Lonchura striata: one gene and its partners. The protein of the gene in region 4 purifies or fractionates together with the protein of the main gene of each other region. This does not show direct contact. Links are inferred from orthologs where the notes say so. Each region holds a gene or a part of one and is shown on either strand. Other genes may lie near its edges.

Region 1 (7,475 bases), on a different chromosome or scaffold from region 4:
CCCAGCACCCCCCTCTTGTCTCCAGAGCTGGGAACATCCTGCTGGGATTATTTTGGGGGTGGCTGGTCTTGGCGCATGGAGGGGCGAGGGCAGGAGCGGGGGATGGAGCAGCCCCACCCCCGTTTATAACCCTCTTCCTCCTCCTTGTTTAGGGCCAGACCTTATTCTTGAACTGTCTGGCTTTTCCAGGGGAGACAGCTCCCCCTCAGTCCTTGGCATTAAATAATTAAATGGAGGGAATAATCGTCGGTGAAACCCCCTTGGGTTCGCACTTCCTCGGGCCCTGTGATTGCTGATATTTTTTTGGTTGAAATATGACCTTTTTTATGATCAAAGGGGATCAGAGTTCCAAAGGAAAGTTTAAAAAAAAAAAAAAAAAAAAAAGGGAAAAAAAAAGAGGGCCAGCATTTTCTTTTTTCCCCCAGTCTTAGTGGTCTGGTAAAGTTTCTTTAGACATGCAAAGATTTACACACCTTTCTGCAGGGTGCCTTAAATTACCCTCCAACTCTTTACACATTTCCATGAACAGAGCAAGAACAGTAAGTCATTGAGAAATTAACTGGCCTTTCAATAATATCCCCTGTCGGCCTTTCAGAAGGAGAATGTCTAATGACTTTTTTGAAGTAGAGGTCAGGGTTTGCTTTTTTTAAATAAAACAATCTGTATTAATGCAATTTCCTTTTTAGCTGTAGGATTTGCCCTTTTTTTTTTTTTTTTTTTTCCTCAGCATCGTTTTTTTAACACCACCAGCCACACGAGGCATCCCAAGCAAGACCTGGTTGCTTGAGACACACACTCCTGGTGTTCCCTAACCTGCTTGTGCAAGCTCTTATCATTTAATTTTTTGGTAAAAATTGTGTTTTAAACTGGACTTCGAAGCTGGCAAGGTGACTCAGCTTTGGGTGGTGCAGAGACGGAGCTGAGCAGGTTTGCTTTACCTGACACCAGCACCTGGGTTTTGCTGAGCTGGGTGTGAGCTCTGAGTCCAGCTTTGCTGGGCCAGAACTGCTGGGTGATGAAGCAGAGGCACTGAGCTGGAAGAGCTGTGCTGGGCCCCTCAGAGCTGTGCTGGGCTGTGCTGGGCTGTGCTGGGCTGTGCTGGGCTGTGCTGGGCTGTGCTGGGCTCCTCAGGGTGAGGATCTGTCTGTCCAGAGCCTGCCAGGTTTGCAGCCCTTGGCATGGATGTGTTTCTCTTTGCCAGTCCTTCATCTTCCTCTCGAAAGAAAAAGATTGAAAATATAATATTTGTTTGGTAATCTCAGTTTGTGTTTCCTTGGGGTTTCCTGGTATTTCTCTCACGCTGCACTAACACCTTGTGCTTCCGTGTTGCTCGGCACGGCACAGATTTGGATGTGCTCTGCCAGCCCCAGCCCCTCCTCACCCCAAAACCGTGGACAGGGGCAGTGCAGCCTCCTTGGAGCACTGCCTGGGATGGTGCTGCTCCTTGTGGTACCCAGGAGTTCCCTCCTAACATTCCCAAAATCTCGCCCTGTGGATGTTCTGGTGCAGAGAGCTGGGCTGGCTCGCCCACAGCTGAAGGATTTTCTGACCGTGGAGTTGCACCTCTGCTGCCTGGAGGATGCTTGGGGTAAGGAGTGGGAAAGAGGAGGGTGTGGGGGATGGCGGGGGCCTGGCAGTGCCTGGCCAGGACCAGGAAAGGGCTCTGGGGTGTGTGCCCGGCCCGTGTGCTGCCCAGGCTGGGGATCAGAGCACCCCCTCCGCCCCCGGGGCATCAGGCAGGGGCCAGGGCAGTGCCACCCGCAGGGGTGACAGCCAGGAGTAGCTGCTGGGGGAGTCCCCCGTGCCCAGCCCTGCCCTTCCCAGCAGGAATGGTGTTTCTGGATTTACTGAGCAGCTCCTCTTTCTCCCTCCATCTCTGCCAGACCCCAAAAGTACAGCATGCCCTGCGCTGGCTCCTCTCCCCTGCAGCCCTCACAGCTCCCCCATTGCCTCCTAGCTCCCTGTCTCTGTGGTTGGTGGCATTATAAAACACTCCAGCAAGCCCCTTGCTGAAGATTTTTCTCCCAGCTTTCTCATTCCCTCTCTTTCTGCCTCTCTTCTGCTCTTTCTTTCTCTCCCTCTCTTTCTTTCCCTGCCAGGAATCCCAGTCAGTCCCAGATGAACCAATACTCCGTGGCTCTGCTATTTCCCTTTTATTCCCCCCCTCCTTCAACAGCGAGATGGGAAAAGAGTGAACTAAAAAAAAAAAAAAAAAAAAAAAAAAAAAAAAAAAAAAGAGAAAGAAAGAAAGAAAAAAATCAAAGCGGCACATATTGGATCCAGATGTGCTTACAGCCCTTTCCAGCAATTTAATTAAATTCCCCCAGACAGCCAGGAGGATTTCTTAATGATCAAATTTCCCTGGCTTTCCTCCTAAAATGCCCCTCTTTCTTCGGCTGGCTGTTGCTGTGTCTCCCTGATGGATGGCCAACTCGCATTCTTCCGAGTCCGCCCCGCCAAGGCCGTGGGGAGGAAGGGGCAGAGCCTGGTGCTGTTCTCCCAGCCAGGCACTAAACACCCGCCCAAGCACGGCCAGAACGGCCCTGCCAGCAGAATCTCTGCTCCCAGGAAATGTGGGGCTGGGGAATCTCCCTGCGCTGTGTCCCGTGGTGTGGCCGTGGCAGGGAGGACTCCCACGTGCGTGGGCTCGCTGTGCTGCTGGCAAGGGAAGGGCTCAGCCCGTGGCTCTCCTGGATTGTCACCTCCCAGGGCTGCTTTGGAGCCAGGTTTGGTCCCACACTGTGTCCCCAAAAGCTCCTTTCAAATTGGGGGAAAAGCCTCTGTGGGGCTCCTAAAAATGCACATTGGGGCAGCTCGGTGTCCCCTCTCATCCTCAGGGACAGCATGGCTGGGGGCAGAGGTGGCACTGGGGTGACCCTGCCTTGGCAGCCCTCCTTTCCCAGCAACAGCAGGAAAGGAGAAGCGATTTCTGCCCAAAGTGCCCACCAGTGCCACACAGACAGGGATGGGGTTTGTGTCCCGTGCTGCCACTGGAATTGTGGAGGGTCCAGGGTTTTCTTGGATTGTGGCTTTTTGGGCTTTACTGGGAACAGAGGGCCCAGGGTGTGGCTTTACCTGGGACTGGAATGAGGGTCTCAGCTGCCCAGCCCACCCCAGATGGGGTCCCCCCAGCCAGGCTGCTCTGGTTTGAAGCCAGCTGAACCCCCCTATGCAGAGGGACAAATCCCCCCCGTCCCTCACTCTCCCTTCTGCTTTCCCCCTCTGCTCCCTGCCTGGGCTGGATGGGGTTATTTCCACCCCTACTCAGGCAAACACGGGGATGACACCCCAAAACCCCACCCAGGGGGGCTGCTGGGCTGCAGGAGGGGTGCAGGATCGAGGTGCCACTGCACAGCACCAAATCCTGGTGGCACCGGGGCCACCCTGCGAAGAGCCCTGTCCTGAAGGTGGGCACGGGGTCCAGGGGCTGCAAGCACTGGGGACCTCCAGCCTGGCACCCCACTTTGTGTGAGGAAAGGAAGGGTGGGAAACAGGGGGGACCGTGACAGCATGTCAGAAAAATGCCCAGCCGGGGCGGCCTCCTCGCCCCTTCTGCCCCGAGGCCACGGCTGCCTGCTGGAATCTGGAAGCGCTCCACCGGAATAAAATAAATACGTAAATAGGAAACCCAAGGCGGCTTCAGTTATTGCCGCTCTCCAGAGCTCCCCGCGCTGGCGGATTCCGCCAGAATAATAATAAAAATAATGATGATTATGATAATAGTACCAATAAATCCTGGGCTAATGCTCCCCCTGGTAGCTCTTTCAGCAGGGGAGGGTCCAGGCGCTGCGGGCAGCGGCACCGGAGCCACCCCGAGCCCCGGGGGGGCGGCAGCCACTGGGTGCCACCTCCCAGCAAAGCCAGCCCGGCCTGGGTGGGTCCTCCAGAGGGACGGGGGACATCGGGGAAAACGGGGACACCCGGGATGGGGGGACACCCGGGACGGGGGAGGACACCGAGGAAGGGGATAGGCGGGGCGTGACACCCGTGAGAGAGGGGACGCCCCGGGAGGGACAGAAGGGAGGAAAGGGGAGGACAGAGGGGGGGAAAAGGGGGGGAAATGGGGGGAAAAGGGGGGGACAGAGGGGGGGAAAGGGGGGGACAGAGGGGGGACCCCGGGGGATGCCCCCGTCCCCCCCATCCCGCGCGCGGCCGCGTGCTGCCCCCTGCTGGCCGCGCCCGCCACGGCCACGCCCCGTGCGAGGCCACGCCCACTGAAGCCACGCCCTTTAAAGCCACGCCCATGCGCAATGCCGCTCGACGAGGCAGCGCCTTGAGCGAGGCCACGCCCCCAATGGCCACGCCCCCAGCCAGGCCCCGCCCCCGGGTCCCGTTCCCGTTCCGGTTCCGGTTCCGGTTCCGGTTCCGGTTCCGGTGGCGGTGCCCGGGCAGGTGAGGGGCGGCCGGGCCGCGGGGAGCCGTGCGGGGAGGGCGCTGCCGGGGCCTCCCTTCCCTCCCGCCCTGCTCGGCGGGGGTTGCATTGCAATTCGTGGGTGTTTATCTGTGAAAAAGAACCGGGCTTTATGGACTCGTTTGTTTTTTTTTTTTTTCCCCCCCCCCCCGCTATAGCCTGATCTGCCTCCTCAGGGAAAGGTGTGATGGTGTGTTTAATGCACCTAAAAATATTTGTATGTCAGGAGTGGTGCATACCCTTATTTATTTATTTATTTACACGTACGTGCTGATAATAACAAAAATATTCCCGCTTTGGAGTATTGTAAAACGAGCAGAAAAATTAGTGTTGTTTTTTACTAACTTATTTTAATTGGGCTGTTACAGCTCGGTAAAGAGCGATAAGGGAATTAAGATGTGTGGTTTTTGTGCAGGGTCTCGTGTTCCTCCTGCTGGGGTCTGGGGGCTCCTGCCCATCCCTTGCCATGGGCTGCCCGGGGATTTTGGGGCTTCCTGGGCTTGAACCCCAGGAGGGATCTGCGGGGTGGGCGGTCCCTGGGGTGGCTCCAGCCCCTCTCCCAAAAAGCCAGGCAGGGCTTTGCTGGTTGCAGACCCCTCGGAGCACCCCCAGGCTGGCTCCTGGCACAGGGGCTTTGTGCCCGTCCTGGCTCCGCCTGGGCGTTCCCGTGCCGTGCCCAGATAACTGCAGAGCGCAGGAGATCATTTGGAGACACCAGATCGCTGTGTGGGAGGAGATCCCTGCGCTGCCTTTATATGTAAGGAGGGGGAGGCTGTGTTTTCTTCTATGCTCAAACCTGCTGAAAGCCTCGTTTGTTTGGAAGGAGGGAGAAGCCCCTTGGAGGACAGCGGTGCCGTGCTGGAGGCCCCGGGCGGGGCAGATCACGATGCCTTTCCTGCACGGCTTCCGCAGGATCGTCCTGGAGTACCAGCCCCTGGTGGATGAGCTCCTGGGGCTGCTGGCCACACCTGACACGGAAGGGCAGAGCTCCCTGGAGAGGTAAGAGCGGGGGGCTGAACACCCCAGGGTGTTTCTGGGGGATGGTTGGAGCTCAGGGAGGTGGCCAAGGTTGGACAGCGTTGGCTTGGACAGCCTCCAGTCCTGGCGAGCAGCTCATCCCACAGACCTTCATTTTGCTGCTGTTCTTTGGGAACAGGGAGGTGCAGCAAGGCAAACACAGGAGCTGTGGGGGCTCCCCAGGAACAGCCCTTTCTGCCTGACCCCTGGCAACAAAGCCTAAACTGGGGCTCAGCTCAGCCCTGAGGCTGCTGTGTAACCCCACAACCAGCGGGTCAGAGACCCACTGGGTATGGGACCAGAGGGAAGACCAGGGATTTTCCTTCTTCCCTGCTGCCACTTTGACCCTTGCACACCTGAGCTGTGTTCACTGAGTAACTGCTGGGTTTTTGTGTGTCTCAAGCCCTGCCTGCCTGGACAGTGACAGGAGCCAGCTCTCAGCTGTGAGAAGAGTCCTGGAGAGGGAGATCCACTCCCCATTTTATCAGGAAGGTGTGAGCTATGCCCTGCTGAAGGTCACTGAGCTGGGGCTTGTCCCAGCTGCAGAAATCCTCCTGGAATTTGGTGCTGACCTCAGCTTTGAAGGTGAGGCTGGTGGGAAGGAGGCTGGGCCAGGAGGAACCGGCAGATGAGAAGCTGCCCTGGCAGGTGGGGATAGCTGGGGCACAAACAGGGGGTGCTGCCAGCTCAGACACTCCTGCTCCTTGCTGGAGTAGTGTGGATGTGCCTTGTGTGTACCCAGGAGCACCAGGGGGGCTTTTGGCAGGATGGAGCCACTGGAGCAGCAGGACCTGGGGTGCCTGTGCCTGTTTTCTCAGGCATCACTGTGCTCCCAGGGCCCTCCCCAGCTGTCCCCTTCCACTCCTGGCAGGCACTGGGGCCGTTTTGGGGAAGCCCTTTGTTTTCTTTGACTGTTTTTGTCCTCAGACCCAGTCACCTACTACACCCCGCTGCACATGGCGGTGCTGCGCAACCAGCCGGACGTGGTGGAGCTCCTGGTGCGCCACGGCGCCGACATCAACCGCAGGGACCGGGTACGGCCTCGCTGCCTGGGCACAGCCAGGCCTCAGCTGCTCTGCTGTGTGGGGACAGCCCTCCTGCTTCCCTCCTGCTTGTGCTGCTTCCCCTTGGCACATCCCTGTGCCCACTGTCCGTGGTGCTGTGCCTGAAGGTCATGTTGGCTTTGGCTGAGCCCCTGCCTTGGAGCGATGTGTGGGAGGAGGCTGGAGAGATAAACTTACTGTGGCCAAGATAAAACCCCAACAGCAACTCCCTGCTGACACTCACAGACTTCAACATCTGCCAGTGTGTTTTAACTGTTTTTAACTGTTTTGCAGATCCATGAGAGCAGTCCCCTGGACCTGGCCAGCGAGGAGCCCGAGCGGTTGCCGTGCCTGCGGCGGCTGCTGCAGCTGGGGGCCGACGTCAACGCCGCCGACAAGAACGGTCCGTGCGCCCCGCCCGGCTCCCCCAGCTGAGGGTGGGCTGGGGCAGGGCACAGGGCTGGGCCATTTGCTGCTGTGCCTGCTCCCTGCTTACAGTCGGGTGTGGGAGCTGGGAGGAAGCTGGCAGAACCTCCCTGCACTCGATATTTTCTCCTGGTGTGCTGGCTGTATGAAAAGGGCTGAACCTAGCTCTGTGCAGTCCACGGGAGGTGGGGTGGGGCTGTTCCTCTGTTGTCCTAGAGCACTTGCTCTAAAACTCACTCTTCCATGGCACATAGACCCACTGAGGCTTCCATCAGCCCTGCACGTGTGGTCTTTGACTGTCCCCACAGCTGGGCACCATCATGGGGACAGTGGAAGCCTCTGCCAGAAGACTGGTTGTCACTCCCTATGTTTGGCTGTCTGGTGGGTGGGGCGGGTTGTTTTCCTTCCTGCCTTTTGGGGTGTCACCCTGTCATCTGTGACTGATTGCTCCATTGCAGGGAAGACAGCACTGCTGCATGCCCTGGCCAGCAGTGACAGTGGCCAGATCCACAACACTGACAGCATCCGTCTCCTGCTGGAAGGAGGTAAAGAAAACCTTCTTCCCTTTCTGGGCTGGC
Region 2 (7,159 bases), on a different chromosome or scaffold from region 4:
TGTCACCAGTAGCCCCAGCTGAAGGTGACTTCCTTCCCACTGCAGCCCTGATGTGAAACACAGGTTGGTGATGTGAAACACAGGCCAGTCCCATGCACCAGTCCAGGAACAAGCCCTGCTCAGGAACCACACTGGCTTCAGGCTCATCACAGCTCCAGTGCTGCAGGCAGGAGTGCTGGGAAGAGCAGTGACAATGCCAGCAAAGCCAGTTGCAGCAGGGATGAGGGATGCTGCACATTCATTCCAGTGCTTGTGTGCAAGTTCAGAGATGGAGAGCTTTGTTCTAATTACAGGTTTTATTGGTTAATTCAACCTTTTAATCAAAACTTAAATTGATTTTGATTACTCCAGAATAAAGATGATAGGAGGAAAATCCAGCCCATACCTCTAGTTTGACTTGCTGCTGAGCACAGTGTGGCTGTCAGCAGCACAGGGATGGGGCAGGGTGGCTGCTAGAGGCTCAGCTGATCCAGTTCATCCCCATCCCACAGCCTGGCTGGGCAGTTCCCAAACCTCTGCTCTCACACACGGGTATTTCAGCATTTATCCAGCTGTAATTGTTCTGCCAAGGCCAAACCACAAAGCTTGTGCAAGGAGGAGTCAATGAATGCCACCTCAAGCCTGGGAGATGGTTGGAGTGATGCTCCTCCAGCTCTGGGTGCCCCTGTGATCCAGAGGGGGGTTCCTTGGTGTCACATGAGCCTGCCCATGTGGCGTGCTCAGTGTGAGGGGCAGGACAGGGGACAAGCCCCTGCAGCACAGCACAATCCGAGCAGGAGCCCAAGCTGAGCCTGGGAATGATGAGTCCTTCTGGCCACTCCTTCCCTCCTCACAGCAGAGCAGTCACTCCCTTGAATTCCATTCCTTTCTCCTTTGCCCTTTTCCAGCTGAATGCACGGCTGTGGCTGATTTCCCACATTGCAGCAAGCCCCTGCCAAGCTCACCCCTCTGCCAGGAGCCTCTACCAGGATTGCCCCTCTCACTACAATTCCCACCTGTCTGGGCACTGGTTTCACTATCCCACCAAAGACAAGAAATCCCTGGAATGAGCGAGCCATGAACAGGACTTTGGCTGGCCCTGTGGAGTGGCAGGACTGAGACCCAGAGGCTGAGAGATAAAATTGAGGAGATTCCTGCCCATCCTCCTCCTGTCCACTTGCACTGCTTTGGATCCATTGGACTGTTGGACAGAAATGAGGCTTTTCTCCCCTCCTGGGCAAAACAAACATCCCCAGGTCGCCCCTCTCCCTTCCCCTGCCCTGCTCACCAGCCTGTGCCCTGGAGTGGATGTTTCCCCACAGGCTTTACCTCCAAGCCCCTCTGCCCCGGGAATGCAGTGGCTGCAGGAGGACATCTGCTCTTTGGGTTTGCTTTAGGTGCTCTTTGGGTTTGCTTTAGGTGCTCTTTGGGTTTGTTTTAGCTGCTCTTTGGGTTTGCTTTAGGTGCTCTTTGGGTTTGCTTTAGCCGCTGTTTTGTTTTCCTCTGTCAGTGCCCTCTGTGCTTTGGGAGCAGCCATGGGAGCTGGGAGAGGGCACACAGGGGGGCTGTGTTTGGCCCCTGCCAGTGCAGAAGCCAAACTGAGCAGCTGAGGATGAGGATCCCCTTGGCCCATAGGACACAAACCCCTCACCAGAAGAGGCCCCTAAAGGGATCACAGCTTGTGGCTCCAGGGCAGCACAGGAGCTCGAGCTCTCAGGCTGTGGGAGAGGGAGCCAGGCTGAGACCACCAAAGAGGGGCCAGACCCCCCTCCCTGTGAGTGTGGAGGGGGCAACTCTGGAGCAAGTCCAGGGAGCCCACGGAGATGTCCCAAGGGCTGGAACCTCTCTGCTCTGGAGCCAGGCTGGGAGAGCTGGGGGTGCTCACCTGCAGAAGAGAAGGCAGCAGGCACACCTTAGAGCCCCTTCCAGGGCCTGAAGGGGCTCCGGGAAAGCTGGAGAGGGACTGGGGACAAGGGATGGAGGGACAGGACACAGGGAATGGCTCCCACTGCCAGAGGGCAGGGATGGATGGGATATTGGGAATTGGGAATTGTTCCCTGGGAGGGTGGGCAGGCCCTGGCACAGGGTGCCCAGAGCAGCTGTGGCTGCCCCTGGATCCCTGGTTGTGTCCAAGGCCGGATTGGAGCAGCCTGGGATGGTGGAAGGTGTCCCTGCCCATGGTAGGGGTGGGATGGGTGGTCTTTGAGGTCCCCTCCAGCACAAACCATTCTGTGACTCTATAAAAACATCCCACTTTAATCCATTCCCTCCCTTCTCCATCCATGAGTGACCCTGCCCTGCTTCCCAGCCAGCAGAGTTCCCCAAGGAGGATCCCGCAGGATCTTTGCAGGCTGAGGGACATCTGTGGTGCTGGCAGGGCTGGGGAACGTGGCTCACTGAAACGGGATTCACTGGAAGCTGGAAGCTGGGAACATGGATGGAGTGCCTAGCTCTGGAAAGATGAGCAAGATGCTTTGTTCAGCACAGGGATTTATTTGTCAGCAATGACAGCAGGGATCCTCCACACCTTCCCATTGGGAATCCCCTGCGACTGGGTTTGGGAGCGGTTCCTCAGCGATGTCACACCAATGCCAAGGGATTCCAGTGAGAGCATCCAGGAGTCCTGGCTACAGGCTCAGCCTGGCACCCACAGCCCCACTGCTGTCCCCATTCCCTGGGGACATGCTGGATGTCACCATGGCTGCCCCCTGCCCCACCAACAATGGAGTGCACACACTTCCCTACCCAAGAACCCGCTGCCTGCCATGAAATGGATGATCACCCACCTGGATGCCCCCAAACTGTAGGTGGCCCTCTTTCTGGATGCCCACCCCAGATCTAGAGGAGGACTCCTGTATGCCCTCCCTCCCTACCTCCCACGTACCCACCCACCTGGACATCTCTCACATCTGGATGTCCCCGAGTCCTGGGTGCTGCCTCTTCTTGGGTGCCCCACACATCTGGAAGTGCCCCATCGATGTGCGCCTCCCATCTGGATGCTTAGCTCATATCTGGATGCCCCCCCAATCCCGGATGATCCCTGGGTGCCCCACACACACGGATGTTCCCCAACCCCGGTCCCCAGTCCAGGACCCCAGTCCCAGTTCCCCAATCCCGGTCCCCAATCCCAGTTCCCCAGTCCCGGTCCCAGTTCTGCAATCCCGGTCCCCCATCCTGGTCCCCAATCCCGGTCCCCAATCCCAGTTCCCAATCCCAGTACCCCTATCCCGGTCCCCAATCCCAGTTCCCCAGTCCCTGTCCCCAGTCCCTGTCCCCAGTCCCGGTCCCCAGTCCCAGTCCCCAATCCCAGTTCCCCAATCCCAGTTCCCCAGTCCCGGTCCCCAATCCCAGTTCTGCAATCCCGGTCCCCAGTCCCAGTTCCCCAGTCGCGGTCCCCAATCCCGGTCCCCAATCCCAGTTCCAGTTCCCCAATCCCAGTTCCCCTATCCCGGTCCCCGGTCCCGGGTGCTTCTCCCCACGGCGGGTGCTCCCCCGCCCGACTCGCCATCCCATCATGCCCCACTTCCCGCAAGGCACGCCGGGAGCTGTAGTCCCCAGCCGTCCGCTGGCCTTCTCAGGGGCGCGTCGGGGCGGGGCGCACCTGATTGACATGCAACTAAGCCTATGGGCGCGGCGGATTTGCGGAGGAGGCGGGGCTGTCTCTGATTGACGCACACTTTAGCCTATGGGAGCGGCGAGAGCGGGCCCGAGGCGCCTCCCGGGCTCGGGCGGACGCGTTGGGTCCGTGAGGCGGGGGCGGCCCTGCCCGGCTGAGGTGGGTGGCGGGACCTGGCGCTGCCCTGGTGCGGTGCTGCGGCCCGGCGGGGCGGAGCGGGCTCGGGGCCCGGCGGGGCGGCGGCGCTTTGTGCGAGTGGGAGGGCGGAGCGCAGCCGTGTCAGCGGCGGGGGCGCTGCGGGGCCGGGCCGGGTCGGGCCCTTCCTCCGCCTTCTCCTCCTCCTCCACCTCCTCCTCCGCCGCAGGTCCCAGCGCGGCCCCGGCGGAAGATGCGCGGCCGGCGGTGAGCGGCGGCGGGGCAGAGGCCGCAGCCCGAGGCTGGCGGGCGGAGGATGCGGGCCGGGCCGCCCCGCCGATGAGAAGCAGGATGGGCACCCAGGGCAGCCCGGTGAAGAGCTACGATTACCTGCTCAAGTTCCTGCTGGTCGGCGACAGCGACGTGGGGAAGGGGGAGATCCTGGAGAGCCTGCAGGACGGCGCCTCCGAGTCCCCCTACGCCTACAGCAACGGTAAGAGGGGCCGGGGGGCCGGGCCGCAGGACCCACATCGCTGTCACAGCCCTGCCGCTGTCACCTCCCCCCGCCATCGCTGTCACCCGCATCTCGCGGGGACCCCGAGGCCGGCACCCCAGCGCCGAGCTGGCGGGCAGGGAGGGGTTGTTTTGCTTTTGCCTTTGTTTTTTTTTTTGGTTTTTTTTTTTTTTTTCATTAACTGGGAGCTCAGCGCGTGGCAGGCAGCTCAGAGGCCTCCTCAGCTCCTTGAAATGCCCGAAATCTGGAGGAGACTGTGGGCAGAGGGGCTGGTGTGTGATGTAATCCCTGGATGCGCAGCCGGACCCTTCCCCAGCGGTCCCGCTCGCAGGGCAAGGCTCGCCTCCCTCTCCCCGGCTGCCACAAGGACCGAGCCGTTCCCAGAGGAAGCAGGAGCTGTAACAAAAGAACTGGAGCCTGATTCCCAGCCCAGCGGCGCTCTGGCTCGGTGGCTGTACCGGGAGCGGCCGGGTTGGCTGATCCACCTCCTGCCAGCGTCGAGGTTCCTAATGGAGCCCATGACAGACCATTAACTACGGTATCGCAAGACCGTAATTAAGAGCCAAGGAGTAGCGCTGTGCATTTCCTGCAGTTACGGTGTAGCACGGCCTGGCGGGGTGCGGGTCCCCCTGTGGGTTTCAATCTGTCATCCGTCCCTCTCCTCCGTGCCCGGTAACATCCCCGAGGGCTCAGACCCTGCATCACCGCTGCAGCCCAGGGCAGGAGCAGGTAGTGCTGAGTTTTGCCTGTATCAGGAACCCGAGGGAATCGGGGGCTCCTTGGTGCTCTGCCCTGGCCAAATTTGGAGCATGCAGAGTGGTGTGGCTCCGACCACGCTCGGTCCTGGGAGCCACCACCAGCTCCCCAGGAGCTGATGTAAGTGCACACCTGCTCCACAGAGATTTACGGGGAGGTGGTGACTCAGAAGTGGAGCTGCCTGTGAAATGGGAGCAGCGCTTCAAGAAGGAAAAGGCTTTGCTATCGTTCATCTCCTCGGGTGTCTGGCTGGACTGGTGTGGTTTGCCTTTGAGTAGGTGCTGGGCACTTCAGAGCTTCTCTGAAGAGAGTTTGTGTTTCTGGAGAACCTGCCTCACCTGGGAGCTGTCGAACTGCTCTATAGGTTTGGTCTTTACTATGCAGAGTGTAGAGGGGTGGCTGTTTTAAGTGAAGTGTTACAGTTGGAATTGTCTCCTGATTGAAGTGAGTTTGAAGCAGACAGGGTAGGAATAAGGAGTGAGTTAAGTGGGGTCTTTGGTATAGGCATGAGACCCAAAGAACAGAGATTTTGGCTATGACTATAGACCTTTTGTCTCAGAACCCACTGTTTTGTAGCAGCTAAATACCAGCATCTTTTTGTTGGAAAAAGAAATCTCAGTGAATAATTTCAGAACCTTCCCTTGTCCTCCATGAGCAATTGAGCCCATTCCTAGTTAGAGAATTAGGTCACATACTGTTGTTTCACAGTAATACGTGCTCTGATAGTCTCTGATTCTGTTGAGTCTGGGAAGTGAAGCACCTTTAGGATAATCAGCTGGAGTGGTTTTGATATCCAAGTGAATTTCATCCTGCTGATGCTGCTGACAGCTTTGGCAGTGGAACTCCCTGTGCCTCCGGCACAGCTGGGACGTGCTGACAGGGCATGCTGCTCCCCTGCCCTGACAGAGACCATCCCCTGAGCAAAGGCTCTTGGATTTTGGGAACAGCTCGAGCCTGGCATCCTCTTTCACACGTACCTAATGCCTTCCCAAAACACCAATGCTGGAATGTTACATGGAGGTTCTATTTGTAAATCTACTTGTAAGCACGTTGTCGTCGTCCTCATCCCCTCCCAGATCCCACAGCCCAATTTTAAAATGAGTGTTGTGTCATTACCACTATTTTGGTCAGTGCAGAAAGCATAACCTGTGTGTGCTTTGGGCTGCTCTTGTGATGGGAACATCTTGTGTGGAGCTCAAGTCCTAGACCTTGTCAGGAAGGGGAGAGAGAGCATTTGCTTTCTCTGTCTTGGTTGGGGTGTGCTGCTGTTACTCTGTTGTGTGGAAACAGTTGTAAGCAGCCAGGTTTTGTGATGCAGCGTGGAAGGGATTGTCCTTCCAGCTCGGGGAAGGCACACCCTTAGAAGTGAAGCTCTCTAAATGTAGCTCTGTATTTTAGCTGCTCTTACCCAGCCTATTAGAAAGGGATTGAGGGATTCCTCTCTGCTCCATGGGCATCTGGATGTTGGATCAGCACACAGCTGAGAGATGAAAAGCCCTTTTCCTGCTGGATTTTAGGTGCAGTAAGCAGCCTCTGCCTGCTCCTGTCCAGTATCGGAGAGCCTGGGATGCAGCGGGAGCTGTGTCTGCCATACAGCACCATTGGTGCTTCTGTCCATCCTGTTCCAGAATCCCTGAACAGCAGTGTCACTTCTCAGCACAGCCTGGGAGCTTGGCACCTCGTTCTAAATTTGGCACATCTTATATTAGCCCCTGCAGTTCCTGTAGTGCATAGCAAGACCTTTCTTTAAATTGCTGGCAAAATAAACCTGCTCTGTGGGAACAGAGGTGATTGTTCCCCTGGTGCAGGAGGAGGTGTGAGCGATGCCCTGACCATTGCTGCACCAAGCTGTGAGGGCACTGAGTATGGGACTTCTAGTGACAAAAAGGTGGCATTTTGAGGAGAAAATTGACGTCCAGTTTCACTTGTGTGTTCCTTACCAGGTTCGTGCTGGATCTATGGAGTATATCAGCCTCCAGGAGCATCAGACAAGCATACTCCCTGTGAAGAGCAGGGAGTGTTGTTTCTGTCCTGTGGCTGGATATTATAACTGATTTGGACTTAGCTTTTGCTTTTTCTTGGCCATCTGCAGAAGACCCTGAATTAAACCTTCCTACTATTGTTTTGACAGGGAGAATATTAATGCTCTTCTGGGCTTC
Region 3 (8,035 bases), on a different chromosome or scaffold from region 4:
ACATGAATTAGAGATATTAATTGAATTTATTACTAAAAAAATCAGAGCAGGATAATGAGAAGTAAAATAAGACTTTAAAAACACCTTTCCCCCCACCCTTCTTTCCTTCCCAGCTCCACCTCCTCCCCCTCAGTGGTGCAGGGAGACAGGGAATAGGGGTTCTGGTCAGTTCATCACCATATGTTTGTGCCACTGCTCAGGGAGAAGAGTCCTCTCCCTGCTCCAGTGTGGGGTCCCTCCCACAGGAGACAGCTCTCCATAAACTTCTCCAGTGTGAGTCCATCCCACAGGCAACAGTCCTCCCCAAACTACGGCAATGTGGGTCACTCTTCCATGTGGTGCAGCACTGCAGGCACAGCCTGCTCCAGCCTGGGTTCCCCACAGGGTTGCAAATTTTACCAGGAATTCTGCTCTAGTGTCAACTTCACTCTGAGGGGCTGCAGGTCTTGTTTTCCCTGTTCAGCTCTTGAAGAAGGTGGGACAAAATATATGTGGAAGGTTGGAGCTGTTTCCACAACAAAAAATGAGGCAGGAGGAAGCTGGAGTGAACAGCCAGGCAACAGGCAACTGTAGGGTTTGGTCAATCCTCCTTCAGCCTGGCTATTCCATGAGCTACGGAGGAAATCCTTGCTCTGTTGGGGAATCTGCCCAGGTAAGCTGACTTGTTTATCTTTTTCTGATGTGTTCCTCTGTGGTGAAGGAAAATTCAGGGTGAGCTACATCAAAAAGAAATGCCTTTTGGAATCAGCTGAGCATACGAAACTAACAAAAATGAGTTAAGTTTATGTGTGGAAGGAATGGATAGATTTGCATGTGAAAAAAGGGAGCAACTTAGCATATGAAACTCTCTAATGCATTAAAAATGGGACAGTCATTCATGCTGTAAATCCAGACAGAGGTGAAGGAGGAAAGTAGAATAATGGAGGCATCTACAAAAGCAGCTTTTGCATTGGAAGACACTTCAGTACCTATTCTAGGTTCTGTGAGGTAGTGTTCTGCAAGGTGAATTCTATGTGCCTTTTTTTTTTTACAACCTATAAAGGAAATTTTTCTGTTTCTTTTAATTTAGGATATTTTGGCAATTCTCTGCTTCCCTTTATTTCCAGAAGGACCAAAAAGCTGGAGTGAAATAAAGACATACCTTAATTTTAGTTTTATGCTTCTTGATTCTATAGCATACGTAGATGAATTGAGCTTGTTGAACTCAAAGGTATTGCTAAGTTTTTAGAACAATCAGACTTGTGTGGATTTAATCACATGCCAATACTAAACACTTTTTTGCTTATCTGCTAATGATTACACCTTAAAGATGCAAGCACTTTTTTGTTCTTGTGTAGAAATAGTTTGTTATTCCATAGTTATCTGGATTTAGTAGATCTGCATCTTAAATGAAACTGTCTTTAGGATGGGATTAGTTATGATGATATAGATATAGCTATAGCTATAGATAGATATAGAATAGAGAATTTATATAGAGAGCTCATCAGTTCTGGGAACACAAAACCCCTGGCATTCACAGTTCTGTTCTTTGCAGTGCTAATGTTGATTGGATTTGGAAGGCAACAAAGTCCTGTGCTTTGTTTTCTGTCCCAAGTATAAGTGACCATGAACAAAGCGAGCTTGTGAAAGGTGAAGAAATCATGAAACCTGAAGTGAAATAGGAAGAAAGTGTCTACAATTAAAAAAGGGTAAGAGAGTATTAATGTTTTACCTGACAAAAATACGAGATGTGCTACTGGGCAGAACAAGGAAGGTAAGCTGAAGATTCTCATGGTTTTTGAAATTAAAAATAAGACATTAAAAAAATTTTGTGCAGTTGCTTGTAGACAAATGGGATTTATCATCTGCCTTCGTGAGGGTCATTATTAGTGTTTTTTAATGGTGTCTGCCTTTAAAAATATAGGAAATGTTACAAGAAAGTCTTTCTGAAGAAGACGCTAGCCTTTGGTTCCTTAGAGGGTTGAGAATATGGGACTAATGGACTACAGAAATGGACAGATACTAAAGTAGCTGCTTCCTCTCACAGCTGGGTAAAATGAAGAAGCATAGGCCTGGTTATGATTGAAACAGAGCTGAGTTCCTTCTGAAAGAAAATGTGTATTTGCCTTTGATCTTAAATTCACAATATTCCAATAACAAAAATTACAAACTTTTCTGTGCTTGACTGATCTTTATTATCCTGTCAAAATGGCTACGTAACTAAGCTTTTCTTTAGGTCAGTAATACCAAGAACTGAGAAGAACCAAAGCAGTCAAACAATCAGAAAACCAAATTAAACAAAAAGAAGTGGGGTTCTTAGGCTTTGCAATAAAATTAATAATGGTGCAGGAGATGATGATTTTAATAACATAATTTTAGGTTTATGTTTCTATTAATTTGTATTGCTGAAGTTGCATTAAATGTTGCAGTTGGATTATTAAAATATTTATACTGTTAGCACCATAATCAAATGAACTGGTACTTTAGGTCAGACTTAGTAGACTGAAGGAGGAAGGGATGAGTGGGTTAGTGAAGGAAAAGGTTGTCTATTTCCTTTGGGTTTTCTATGTTTTGTATATATCTTCAAAAAATATTGTGAAGTGTGAATTAAGTATGCTTTAAAATGCTTCATTATCCTAGAGAAGTACCTTTAGTCATAGTAAAAAAATGTTCAAAAAAGTACAAAGTAGTTTCACAAGCCTGATGAAATACAGTAGCAGTATTTTCCCAAGTGTGATCTCCTCTTGCATTTATAGAGCAACAGTGTCCCATAGGCAAGTTACAAGACCATGTTCTGTTGCTATAAATAGTAGAGATTTTAACTTCTATTTCCACTTTGGAAGATGAAGCTTTGTCACATCTGTAAGGATGTATGGACTTAATCTAAGATTGCTGTAGCTTCCCGTCTGCACATGGAGGAATGCTGTAGTCTGTCCTCAGCATGGAAAAAGATCTTGTTGATTCACAGATGAAAATGATTGTTTAAACCTCTGTTGCAAGGTTTAAACACCTGAAGTATCTGGTTCTAGTTCCTGAGACTCTTTTTGCATCTGTGTAAATTCATTTTTGGAAGACAAATGTGTTATGTTGATAGAGTTAGAAGGAATAAACATCTATGTATTTTCCTTCACTCCTAACACGTACATAACTGGATGTAGAATGGATGGGATTCCTGAAAGGTATTCAGTCCCGGCCATGGTGTGTAGAGGCTGGTGAGCAACTACCAAACAGATTTCTCTTGTGATTATGAACTAGCTGCAACTTCTAATGCAGCTCAGAAAGGACTCCAGGGCAACACTGTTGCCCCACAGTGCCTGGGGTGAAGAGGATGGGATTACAAAGGCAATTAAAGCTGCAGTGGTGTTTTGCAAACCTCTCTGATTTTTTTTTGGGTTTTTTTTTTTTGGTTTTTTTTTTTTTTTTTTTTTTTTGCTTTCCTACCTAAATTTAGTTCTTATGATGGCCAGTAAACTAGGAATTCAGCTAAGACACAGACAGCTGAAGTCAGACAGAATGATTGAGTCAAACCACAAGTGGTTTGAACTATTCTGGCTCCTCACAATTTTCAATTTTTTACTGAAATATATTAAATATAAGCCTACCAGTGGTAGTGATGGCTGCCTTGTGAAGATGTCCAGTGGGCCATTCAGGTCTTCACAGCTCACTTAGTTGATAACAACTCTGTAATGCAACCAGAAATTGACAGCTTTTATTTATTAGCTATAGGATCTTTTAAGAGGTGTCCCGGGGTTTAGCTGTGTATCACAACTGAAAATCTTAAGTAAAAAGCAACTTTTTTCCTAAATGAGAATTTTATTAACAGACAAAATGTATACCCAGCTCTAACACATTATCTCAAGCTTCAATCTTTCAGATTTTTGTACATGTAGCAGGTCATCCGACACAAAGTTTGGCCCCTTCTTGCTATAGGTTGTAAGATAAAATCCTTATAGAGCTCTTGGCAATGGTGTGAAAAATATTTACCTTTTCAGTTTCTGAAATGGTCTGTAAGTTTTGATTACTAAAGCCAGCAGGGGATAGGGCCTTTTCACTTCCTGCTCCTCATGTACTTTTCGTTGGATGGCTTTTCTAGAGCTGATAATTGCAGTTTGTATGAGGTTTCCTTAAACTACTGAGTGCTTCACACCTTTTATGATCAGGCACTTTATTACTCCTTTCTGAAGAAAGTGAATGCGCATTGAATGTGATACCAGAGCACGGAGTTTGCTTTTACCGAGGCTCTCCCAGGTCTTGTAGTGTTGCTATCTCTGGATTGTATCCTGAATTTCCAAGTTTGAAGGATAAAGGCATTCCCTCCGACAAGACACCCCATGACCCATTACTGTAAGCATTATTTTCTGGGAGCAAAGGTTACGCTTAGCATGGAACACTGGTGAGCACAGTTAATTTTCGCTCGCTGTGGCGTCTGGTGCGAGTCAAAAACGCAGGGATACAGCGCTTGTTATTCTTGCGGGGAGGAGTGCGAAGTCCGCGATGGGGCTCGATGCCCCAGAGACTGGCTCCAACATACTTTCCTTCTTTCTCAGCCCTGAAGGCAGGAGGGGCAAGCTCGCTCCCAGCGCTTTGCTGTCACATCACGCCCGCTGTTGCGATCTGGTCTGGCGGGACACAGGCCGTGCTGGCGGCTGTTTCCCCGGTCAGACGAGCTGCTCCAAGGCGCGCCGCGGTGTGTCCCGGCCGCGCCCCGCCGCCCATCCCGGCCCATCCCGGCCCATCCCAGCCCATCCCGGCCCATCCCGGCGCGGCCGCCGGCGGGGGCGGAGCCGGGCCGGGCCGGGCGGCGGTCACGTGGCGGGGTCACGTGGCGGGGAGCCGGGCCCAGCCGCCGCCGCCGCTCCGGGAGCGGTGAGAGACGGAGCCGGGAGGGCGGGCAGGGAAGGAGGGAGGGGAGCAGGGAGCGGGAGGGAGGGAGCCCGCGGGCGCGAGTGGCCGCCGCCCGCTCTGCCGCCGCCGCCGCGCCGAGGTGAGTGCGGGAGGTGGAGCGGGATGGGCCGGGCGCTGCGCGGGGCCGCGGGCGGCTCCGGGGCTGTTTTCCTTTTGTTGCGGTGGGCGCCGGCCGCGGGCACGGCGGTCCCGCTCCCCGGGGGCGGCGGGGTGCCGGCGCGCCGCCGGGACGCGCGCGTCCGCCTGTGCCGCGTCCTTCCCGCCGCGCTTCCCCCGCGCCCGGCGGGCACCGGCCGGGATGAGCCCCGGGAAGGCGGGCGGGAGGCTGCCCGGAGCCCCCGTCCTGCCCGGAGCCCCCGTCCTGCCCGGAGCCCCCGTCCTGCCCGGAGCCCCCGTCCTGCCCGCACACCTGCGGCTTTGGGCCGCGGGGCGGGGGTGGTGCCGCCCTCCCCCGGCGGTCCGGGAGCCCCGGGCGGCGGCGGGGAGGGAAGCGCTGGCTCCGGCATCACCTGTGACTCTCCGTGCACCGCCCGTCGCGCTGCCATTTGTAAATATTGTTGTCTTTTTCTCCTATTTTTTTTTTTTTTTTCCCTTCCCGCTACGTTCCCCCGTGCCCCCGCCTTAGCGGGCCGGGGGTGGCGGGGGGCGCACGGTTCGGAGTCGCGCCCCGCGATGTGCAGAGACCCGCCTCAGGAGCGCAACTCCTTCGCATTCTTTGTGTTGTGTCTTCTCGTCGTGCCTCTCAGTAAGCGTCTGTGCGCGAACGTGTTCCAGCACCTTGGCTTCCTAAAGGTTTCCGAAAAAGTGCAGGAATCGTTTACCAGTTCAGTGCTTAAATTTGACCGAGACATTAGAACAGGCGATTAAAACCAGCTGTATGGGGTGAGATCAAAGGTCTGTCTTGTTTGGATTGCCGTTTCTGCAAGTGGCACATAGCAGATGCTTAGGAAACACCATAACAACAGGGTGAGCGTGCTGTGATTCTTTGGGAAACCAGCCAGGCCTCCAGCAATTTGAGGTTAAGGGATTGCCTGAGTCAAATGTGATGTTTTTGTATTTAAGAGTCCTTTTTTGCCAATGGCTTAGATATATATGTTTTTCGAACAAGAACTAAACAAAGGCTTTTTAATAGAAAATGTTTATCTTAAAAAAAATATAATTGCAGTCATATTATTGTCATAGGTAGTTTCATTTTGCCAGGATTAAATTTGCTTGTCCAAGGATTACTGATTCATGAGCAACATCCTGTGTTTTGAATAGGTAAGGGGTATTTGAAATGGATATTTTCTATACCAGTGAAAACTGTAAATTAAAAAAAATGTTTCTTAATATTTGTTTTTACAAATAATTTGCAAAATTTAAATATTAAAGTAACTGTTTAATAAAATGAAGTCTAGTAAGACCTGTGTCAAAATAGCATAATACAATATTGACAGCTTTGGAGATGATCATATGAAGCCTTAACATTTAACTGTTTATATTTAAGCTTAAAGACTTAAATTGTTGTCTCATTGTGTCAAGATTTCTGGTAAAGTTATGTTGAAGATACCATCACAGATTTGTCCACAATAGCAAAATCATGGTGATCCCCGGGGATGCTAGCTGTCAGCTTGATCCTGTAATCCTAGTTCAAGAAATAGCTTCACGCCAGCAGTTCCTAACCTGATTGCTCTTATAAGGAACATTTGCACGAGTGGGCCTCATTTTTCACAGGCAGTGGGAATGTCAGGCAAAGTAGAGCTATTTCAAAAAACTGCATATTCCCCCACGCCCCCAATGGAATTTTGTAAGAAGGTCATTAGCAGTTTCTTGGGGGCTGAAAGGAGGTAGTGGGTTGATATAGTATATATAGATAGCTATTTATAAGATTAAAAATAGCTCAGAAAACTGACAACTGTAATTGTTATGAATGATTTTCATAGAAAGACAATTAATTTTTTTGTGCGTTGTATCACTGCCTCTGACAACAGACTGGATTTCTTACCTAGTCAACAGGTGTTTATTGTAAAACCCTTAACACATTCATTGTTCTATGTTGAACTATACTGAGCCCACGGTGGACAGTTTAAAATATTCATTATATTTCCTTCAGTAAGGCAATGAATAGATTTAAATGGTTCTGTTGTGAACTTTTACCAAGAAAGCTGTTGTCATGCAGCTGATTCATTTTTATCACAAAAAATTGATTCAGCTGAACTTTCAAATAAAATCAGTTTTGTTTATAGTCTTTATAAAAAGTTGTACTTGTTTTATGTAGTTATTAAGCATACTTATAATACACAGCTTTTAGCATTGCTTTTCATTAGTAGGTCTCAAAGCACCTTGCAAAATAATTCAGTGTAATTATTCTCTTCTTATCTTAGGGTAATTATTATCATGTAATCTAGTGCTCATAAAGAGATCATTGTCTGCTGTGATTGCTATGAGAAGCTCTAATAATAAAATCAGACTTTTTGATTTCATTCTTTTTTTTTACAATAAAACCCCAACAAACTCACCTTTCTGTTTCTGTTGTTCATTTAATGAGGACTGAGGTAGTTTCATACCAGACCTTCTATGCCAGTGTTGGGAGCTAAGCCTATGCTTTATGGAGGACAGACTTCTCTTCCTAATGTCAGAAGAAACCTTGCTGAAAGCTTAACTAAATTCATTGATGAGCTGGAAAATGCTTCAAGACAGTTCCTGTTAAGGTGGTCAGGTACTAATGGTACACATCTCTAGTTCAGTCACCAGGGAGGTTGACTGCTCAGACTTTGATATCTCTTGGTATCTATCAGGATTAAAAAAAAGTGTGTGAATGAGTGAGTTACATGGGCATTATCCTCATATTTTAGGTATTTTGCTTCATTTCTACTATGGTAGAGTTGATGGAAATTGTACAGAATATTTCATTTTTTTGAGTCACTATTTGTATCTCATTTTTGTAATGCATCTCGTGGCAGAACAACTTCTGAAACTAGGGCTGTGAAATACACATCTTTAAGTTATTTTCCAACTGTCTCTATCAGTTGGGATGTGCAGTTGATTATCACTAATTACATTATTAGTGCATTTTCATAATTACTTTAGGACTTGAGGTCTTATGATGTGTTGATAGTTGGCAAAATAGAACAGAAGATTGGTGTTTTTTTAAAAAATTCAAGATAATATA
Region 4 (7,258 bases):
GCAAATGACAATGAAATATATATCTGAAAGAGATCAGAAGGACTCTGAACTTTCCAGCGTGTTTTGTTTATTTTCCATTGCTTTGGTATTTTCATAACTTTTGCTGAAAAAAAGCCTTCTCCATTTTGTAGATACGAAAGCCCGCAGATTTGTGCCAAGGCACTCAGGCATATTAAGACCAGAGCAAGCACAAAGCCAAACCCTAATTACAGGACTTTGTTTTTCAGATGTCAGCATTTCCTTTTAAGGAAGTCATTCACAATTTTGATTTTTCTAGGCTGTGCATCTCTCACCACAACTCCCACCACCTATTACTCTTTATAGTAGCCTCCCTTGACAAGTACCTGCATCTAATTTTCACAGGAGTCACACACATACAAATATAGTGGTACATTTGATAATATATGTTAATAAATACAGAACAATATCTAATTAAAAATATTTATCATCTTTATTCACTCCAGTCTGTGGCTTTAAGATTGGATGGCAGCTCCAGGACTCAATAAGATACAAGAGTGACAACTTCCAGGCTTCCCACTGTGCCACACAATGCAGTGGAAAAGTACCTTTGCTTCTCCTTTGCCCCAACTTGGGCTGCCACAGACACACGTGCACGGATCATGCACAACAGAAAATGTTCAACTGTTATGTGAGCAAACACATCTTTATCTCTTCCAAAGAAATGTGGACACTTAAACAAGTGTCCTGCCGGTTGAATCTGGCTTACATGTCACTGGCTGGACCATATTCTCCCAAAAGACAAAACTCTAATGTGCTACAGGAATTTAGATTTGAGTATTTTTGCAGTCTCTGCCAGATAAGGCCAGTATTTGTATATTAGGTTGAACTGCCTAGACATTCCTCCTTTTCTCAGGTAATAGAGAACAAAGAAGAGAGAACTCTAAAACAGCTGCCCTTTCTTCATTGAGACAAAAGCAAAACTTTTGTGTTGTCTGTCCCTAAAATTCGTATTTCAACACCAGTTAGGGGCTAAGGTGCTGGGAGGATTCAGCCAAAGTGCTTCAACTCGTATCATGGTGTGTGGGAGCCCCCTGATCCAGGGTCACAGCAGAAACTCACAATAAATCAGCTGCCCTATTGAGCCCTAGAGTTGCAGCTTCAGACAGAAGCAGCACAGAGAGCCAAGGACAGAAATCACTGCCACCACACCAAAGTAACCTGTCCCCACTCCCACATCATAACCCCACAGATGGGGGTCAGTCTGAAAGGCTAAGGACAGCAAAGCCAGTCCAGCTGCAATCCTGTGCTTCCCAGCTAACACCTGCATTTTTGTCCCTTTCTCTTGTGCATCTAAAACTACCTTGGGTGAACGAGTTAAACCAGCAGAAAATGGAGCCAGCTAACACCTCCTTCCCTGCAAAAGTCAAACTAACCTTCAACAAGTGCCAGTCTCAGTCTGGCACTGCCCCCACCTAAGGTTACTGCAGACGCAGTGGCTCTACAGGAGCCAGACCCGCTCTGGCAGGGTCAACACAGAACTGCTAAACTGAAGTCAGTAATCATCAAATTTCACATTCTAACAATGTGGTTTGTTCCCAAAAAACGGTTACTAGTTTTTTTCAGATTTTTTTTTCTAGTTTCAGATTAAAAGTACTCCCTTGGTCTAGCAATTAAAAAATTAAGACTTTTTTTTTTTAAACTTTTATAATAGCTCTGGGTAAGATTTTAATTTAAGACTTTTTTTATAGTGTTCTGTAACAGCCTAGCTTACAATGGGGACAAATGCATTTTTAAAATTATGGTTTAAATGGCAAATGAAGACAATTTCATATTTCCAGAGTGGTCTCTGTTTACTTGTACACCCTTCTGCCTCCTCTGTTCCAGAGAAAGTTCCCAGCAAAATTATTTAGGAGAAATGACAGAATGGTATATTTTGCCTCATTTATGTTAAACCAAATGCTGATTTCATTTTCAGTATCAGGGTTCCTGGCCCTACAAAAACTAGGTGCTCTGGCGGGAACTTTGGGTCATTTGTCCTGCCGACGTGCTGCAGACCCAACTGCGAGGACAGCTACACCTAGGATGACTCAGTCCAAAATAATTGTAAAAGCTGGACCTGCACACACAGTAAAGGAAGAATTTAAACCGCTTTTGAAGAACTAAGATAAATCTCATATTTGACAAAGATGTCAGAAAACAGTAATATGAGTTAACAATGAAGGTGCTTTCAAACAGTCTCTGGGTTTCAAAACCAAGTAAATTAACCCCTTACTCACTAAATTTCTCAGTACATTTGTGTGTGTTAAACTGCACCAGCAATCACGCTTGCGAAGTAGAGTCTGACACCCTGGTTTAACAGATTTGAAAAATCAATTTTTACGTACATCTGTAACTGCTTCGTAGAAAAAAAAAAACCCTTAACAAAACCCACCCCATAAAGAGCAGCCCCACGCATGCAGCACTGGCTTCAGCTGGGCTCTAAGTCCGTGCTTGCGGATTTGCCCTCATGACGAAGCCGGCACCGCACGGGTCACGGCGCGGCCCGGCCGGGCAGGGCCGGGCCGGGCAGGGCAGGGCTCGGCCGGGCAGGGCCGGGCCGGGCAGAGCCGGGCCGGGCAGGGCCGGGCAGGGCAGAGCCGGGCCGGGCAGGGCAGGGCCGGGCAGGGCAGGGCAGGGCAGAGCCGGGCAGGGCAGGGCAGGGCAGGGCCGGGCAGGGCAGGGCCGGGCAGAGCCGGGCCGGGCAGGGCAGGGCTCGGCCGGGCAGGGCAGGGCAGGGCCGGGCCGGGCAGGGCAGGGCCGGGCCGGGCAGGGCCGGGCAGGGCCGGGCCGGGGGGCTCTCGCTGCCCGACAGGGCCGCCTGTGGCCCCGCAGCGCAGCGGCCCGGCCCCCGCGGGGCCCTCCTCCTCCTCCTCCGGGAAGGCGCGGAGGAGGAAGCGGAGGCGGGAGGGATCAGCCCCCCCTTCTGCCGGAAACCGCGTCTGTGCCCGGCGCCCGCCGTGCCCGGGGCGGCAGGCACGGCCCCAGGCCCGGCCCCGGCCCCCCGCCCGCGGCCATGGCGGCCCGGCCGCCGCTTACCCATGACCTGCACCCGGCAAATGGCGCAGGTGTCGCACTCCACGTCCCAGCTCCACATGGCCACCGCATTCCACTTCTTCAGCGAGAACATCTTGTCGGGGGCGCCCGCCTTGGAGCCCGCGGAGCCCGGCAGCGAGTGGGGGGCGCCGGGCTCGTCCCCGTCCTCCACATCGGCCATGGCGGAGGGGCGGGGACCGGCGGCCGCGCGGGCGGCAGCGCCACCCTCCGGCGGCGGCGGGAGCGGCACGGCGGCGGCGGCGCGGGCCGGGCCCGCGGGGCGAGGAGCCCTCGGAGCCCTCAGAGCCCTCAGAGCCCTCAGAGCCCTCGGAGCCCTCGGAGCCCTCGGAGCCCTCGGAGCCCTCGGGCACCGCTGGCGTTCCACCGGGACACCCGCAGTGCCAGGCTGGCATTGCTGACGAAGGATGTTCTCCTTCGCAGAGCGCAAGTGCAGCAATCCCGACCTCACCCTTGGTCCGGGCTGCCGGGAGTGTGGGGGAGAAGACCCAGTCGTCCAACGCAACACGTTTCCTAGGACTGCTGACAGAACAAGTGAAACACCTCTGCGGTGGCGTGCACCTTGGCCACCTTCGTAAGAAAGTAAAAAATAAAAATTGTATTAAAGATTGCATGTTTGCACATTACTCAACTATCAATTCAGAAGCACCTTGAACACTGTTAAGCAGCATGTTAATAAAGCCTTTTAGCCTGGCTGAATCACACTTCTCTCGATCCACACTGTTCAATTCCCTTTGCCAGCTCCACTCCTTTATCTCATCATTCTTTTCTGTCCATTTTAAAAACCATCAGGGCATTTCTGATTTCAATTACTAGGACTAGATGTAATCCAGAAAGTTTAAAATATTTTTTTAAAAATTAAGTACATTTCATTTCTGCTGTGTAAAATGTCAACTACCTCTAAACAGAGATTTTAAAAAAAGGGAAAAAAATTCTGTTGGAGTTTTGGGGCTTTTAGATTTATACAATTTGCCTTGTATCCCTAAATGATGCAATTCTTCAGTTCTAAGATTCTAAGGGCAAATTATGTCAGATATTATAATTGTGTTTGAGTGCTGTCAAACCATCATACATGTGCTGTACACGATGCAAAGTCAAATATAAACTCCATTTACATTAGCTGTGAAAGTAGAGCAAATATGACACAGGCACTTTGACTCTCTCCATACTGCCTTAGAGAAATAAGTGATAGCTTCCTACCTAAAAATTATTTTCTTGCTATTTTATCAGCTAAAGAGCTGTGTAAGAAAAATTCCAAGCCGTTTTTGAGAAGTAGTTCTGGCAGTCTGTAACTCACCTATCCCCTGCAGCCACAAGGTGGTGGAGCCACCATTCCTGGATGTGTTTAAAAAAGACTGGATGTGGCTCTCAGTGCCATGGTTTAGTTTAGGTGTTAGGGCATGGGTTGGACTCAATGATCTTGAAGGTCTCTTCCAACCTAGTGATTCTATGATTCTGTGAAAATTATTTTTATTAAAAACAAAGCCTTGACAAAAATGTCAGTTTTATGATAATGCAAAGAACAGTTATGTAAGCATGTGTTTATCTTGGCCAACTGATGCATGTACTGGACTGTATTATTCCACTTACTGTTTGTTCTGTCAATAGATTAACATATATCAAAACACTTGAGGACCGTGTCAATTTATCTGCCAAAGAAAACAATTTAAGCTTAAGTCTCTACCAAAACTATTTCTTAAACTCTGGTTATCTGCATCTCTCTGTGCCTCTTTCCCAACAGGAATATGCTACATGGGTCTACTAATGGCCAGTAGGGCTGAGACTTGGCTACAGTGGGGGTGCAAGAGGAAGACAGCACAGGGAACAGTTTGTCACCGCTTGTGACAAACCCACCTGTAGCAGCTCCTAAGGCTTTACTGAATCTGCCAGGTGCAATTGCCAAAATGGAAAACAGACTTCAATGCTGACAGGTACAGTTTCTATGAAACAGAAGCATATAGCAGGCATGCAGAAATACGCAGAAATCACAATAGGAGTTAGGGAAACAATGTATTAGTGGAATAAACTGCCTGCTTTTGCACTGGGAGGATCTCACTGGATGGGAAGAAATCACACAAATATATTGCTGCACAGCATAGCAAAGGGATCCCCATATTCCTATAGATCTATTTGATTTGGCATGAACTTCATAAAAGTCCAGGAATGAGCTCAAAGACTGAGAAGTAGCAATAATTCCAATTCTTAAGTGCATTGTGCTTTACTCTTCAAGTGAAACAAAAGAACGTTAATGACACATAATACACAGAAGGGAAATCCTTACAGAAGTTATGAAAAAAATCCCCTTAACTTCTGCACAGGAACCTCTCTGCTTCAATGGAAAACCCTGTGTCACAAGAGACTAAAGAGATCCTGACTTTGCTGAGCTGCTTTAATCAAGTCTAAACCCTTGGAACTTCTCCATTCTTCACACAACACCCTAGCTCATCCATCTTTCCTTCTGCAGCAGACATTAAAAACCAGTGACACAAAGACTCCTGACTGCTTTATGAAATTCTATACTGTGTTTTTGTTTGCTAATTATTTTACTCTGGAGTAAAACTCAGCTATTACTATTACCTCTGAGCAGTGCTGATTTTCAGGTTAGATGTCTATCTCATATCCATTCTTTAATTTAGAAAACCTATGAAGATAAAATTTTCCCTATTTTAACTGTAGTTAGCTGTTTGAGAATGGACCTGCATTCTGAATTGAAACCTGGAAACCAAATGATGTTGTTCAGTTGTTGTGCAGGGGCACAGCCCCCATCTATTTTGAAATATGGACACTTCCTATAAATTTGTGAGGTAGTACAGTTTGCCTTACTATTTTTAAAATCCCTGATATTTGGATCCTGCCTAGTATCAGGATGGACCCCAAAAAAGCCACTCTTAGAAAATCCAGCCCTCCAATCCACACCAGACCTCCGCTCCGCAAAAAAATCCCTAAAACCACAAAAATAAAAACACTACCAAGAGAAGCCATGTAACTTGCCTATAGAAACTCCCTTTACTCACATATTTAAATTACTGGAAGGTGTTGCACAGGGGAACTTTATCTTCTCATTATTCACCTTTGCAGATGTTATATCCTGTGTACCATGTCACAACTTTTTTTTACCTTGACCTACTTTTCTATTTTTAGATTTTGGCCAAGGTAGTGACAAAAATATGCATTTAAAATTCAAGTATATATAAAAATAATAATAACAAACAGTTATAAATGTCACACCATGACAGAATGGAAGAACTCAGCTGGAGTTACTCAGGAGAAAACTAGATTAATTATTTTGGCTGTCACAGAAATCATTGTTTTGTGTTTCAAAATGTTCTATCTTTCCTCTGGAACTTTTCAAATTTGCATTGCTATACAAAGCATAGTGCCTTCTGTTACCCAGTATGGGGAGACTGAATTGTAGGTACTTCCCCCTTCTTTCATTGAGTACTTTAAAGGTCTGTGGATGAAAGCTGCAGCTAATTGTCAGGTCTGTATTACTGCATTACTCTGGATCACTTGATTCTTAAAGGGGAGTTTCCTTCTTACTCATTTTGTCTCTGCTCCCTGCTTTTTCCAGGCTCGTTTCTGTATCCTGCAGCAGCAGTGTCCCAGCGAGGGCTGAGCTGAACCCAGGAGCTCCAGCTGAGCTCTCAGCAGCTGCTGCAGCGAGTGACCCTCTGGAGCCTCTGCAGCCCAGGATACACACATCAGCCTGTCCCTGCTGCTCTTTGCCACCACAAAGCACAGCACATCCCAGATCTCTGGAGAAATCAGAGGGACCAGGTAAGAGATTTTTACCTTTAAGTCTTGAATTCAAGTCACACAGTAGGTTTACTTGGCTGTTCTATGATCCTCTCGGCTTTTTCCCCCCTGTGTACGAGGAATGACCAAAAATAAAAGATGAAAGTGGGGAACAAATTCACTGCCCCTTAAAGCAAACTAATTGTTTGGATCAATAAAGTTTCTAAAATTGGTATAATTATTTACGTCCTCTTTGGTGAAATTGTTAACTAGACTTCATACAACTGCCATGGCATTTGCAATAGTAATTATGCTAAAATAATAATGGACTCAAACACTGAAAAATCTTGATCATACAAGATTTTCTATGGAAAATTGTGTTAAGCAAGGTGGATGAATTTTATTATTTATCATAAACATTTATTAACATAAATAGTATTTTAGAAGCATTTCAGCAAGGTCATATATTTGC

What was found.
Region 1: the proteins of RNF7 (region 4) and ASB6 purify together in Homo sapiens (co-immunoprecipitation; 4 studies listed by BioGRID and IntAct, counting the BioPlex papers as one, with this or other methods). This does not show direct contact. The link is inferred for Lonchura striata from reciprocal best matches to the Homo sapiens genes RNF7 and ASB6.
Region 2: the proteins of RNF7 (region 4) and RAB40C purify together in Homo sapiens (co-immunoprecipitation; 4 studies listed by BioGRID and IntAct, with this or other methods). This does not show direct contact. The link is inferred for Lonchura striata from reciprocal best matches to the Homo sapiens genes RNF7 and RAB40C.
Region 3: the proteins of RNF7 (region 4) and TULP4 purify together in Homo sapiens (co-immunoprecipitation; 3 studies listed by BioGRID and IntAct, with this or other methods). This does not show direct contact. The link is inferred for Lonchura striata from reciprocal best matches to the Homo sapiens genes RNF7 and TULP4.

Annotation. Positions count from the first base shown.
Region 1 is NC_134624.1:3,661,297-3,668,771, reverse strand, and holds the start of ASB6 (ankyrin repeat and SOCS box protein 6), read left to right. Parts: upstream 1-4,368; 5' UTR 4,369-4,392; intron 4,393-5,234; 5' UTR 5,235-5,297; coding exon 5,298-5,410; intron 5,411-5,831; coding exon 5,832-6,013; intron 6,014-6,355; coding exon 6,356-6,462; intron 6,463-6,765; coding exon 6,766-6,874; intron 6,875-7,355; coding exon 7,356-7,442; intron 7,443-7,475. UniProt on the Homo sapiens protein: Probable substrate-recognition component of a SCF-like ECS (Elongin-Cullin-SOCS-box protein) E3 ubiquitin-protein ligase complex which mediates the ubiquitination and subsequent proteasomal degradation of target proteins.
Region 2 is NC_134618.1:2,658,128-2,665,286, reverse strand, and holds the start of RAB40C (ras-related protein Rab-40C), read left to right. Parts: upstream 1-3,977; 5' UTR 3,978-4,069; coding exon 4,070-4,223; intron 4,224-7,159. UniProt on the Homo sapiens protein: RAB40C small GTPase acts as substrate-recognition component of the ECS(RAB40C) E3 ubiquitin ligase complex which mediates the ubiquitination and subsequent proteasomal degradation of target proteins.
Region 3 is NC_134605.1:53,848,991-53,857,025, reverse strand, and holds the start of TULP4 (tubby-related protein 4), read left to right. Parts: upstream 1-4,778; 5' UTR 4,779-4,845; intron 4,846-4,869; exon of another isoform or gene 4,870-4,963; intron 4,964-8,035. UniProt on the Homo sapiens protein: May be a substrate-recognition component of a SCF-like ECS (Elongin-Cullin-SOCS-box protein) E3 ubiquitin ligase complex which mediates the ubiquitination and subsequent proteasomal degradation of target proteins.
Region 4 is NC_134612.1:12,595,355-12,602,612, reverse strand, and holds the start of RNF7 (RING-box protein 2), read right to left. Parts: upstream 3,249-7,258; 5' UTR 3,215-3,248; coding exon 3,037-3,214; intron 1-3,036. UniProt on the Homo sapiens protein: Catalytic component of multiple cullin-5-RING E3 ubiquitin-protein ligase complexes (ECS complexes), which mediate the ubiquitination and subsequent proteasomal degradation of target proteins.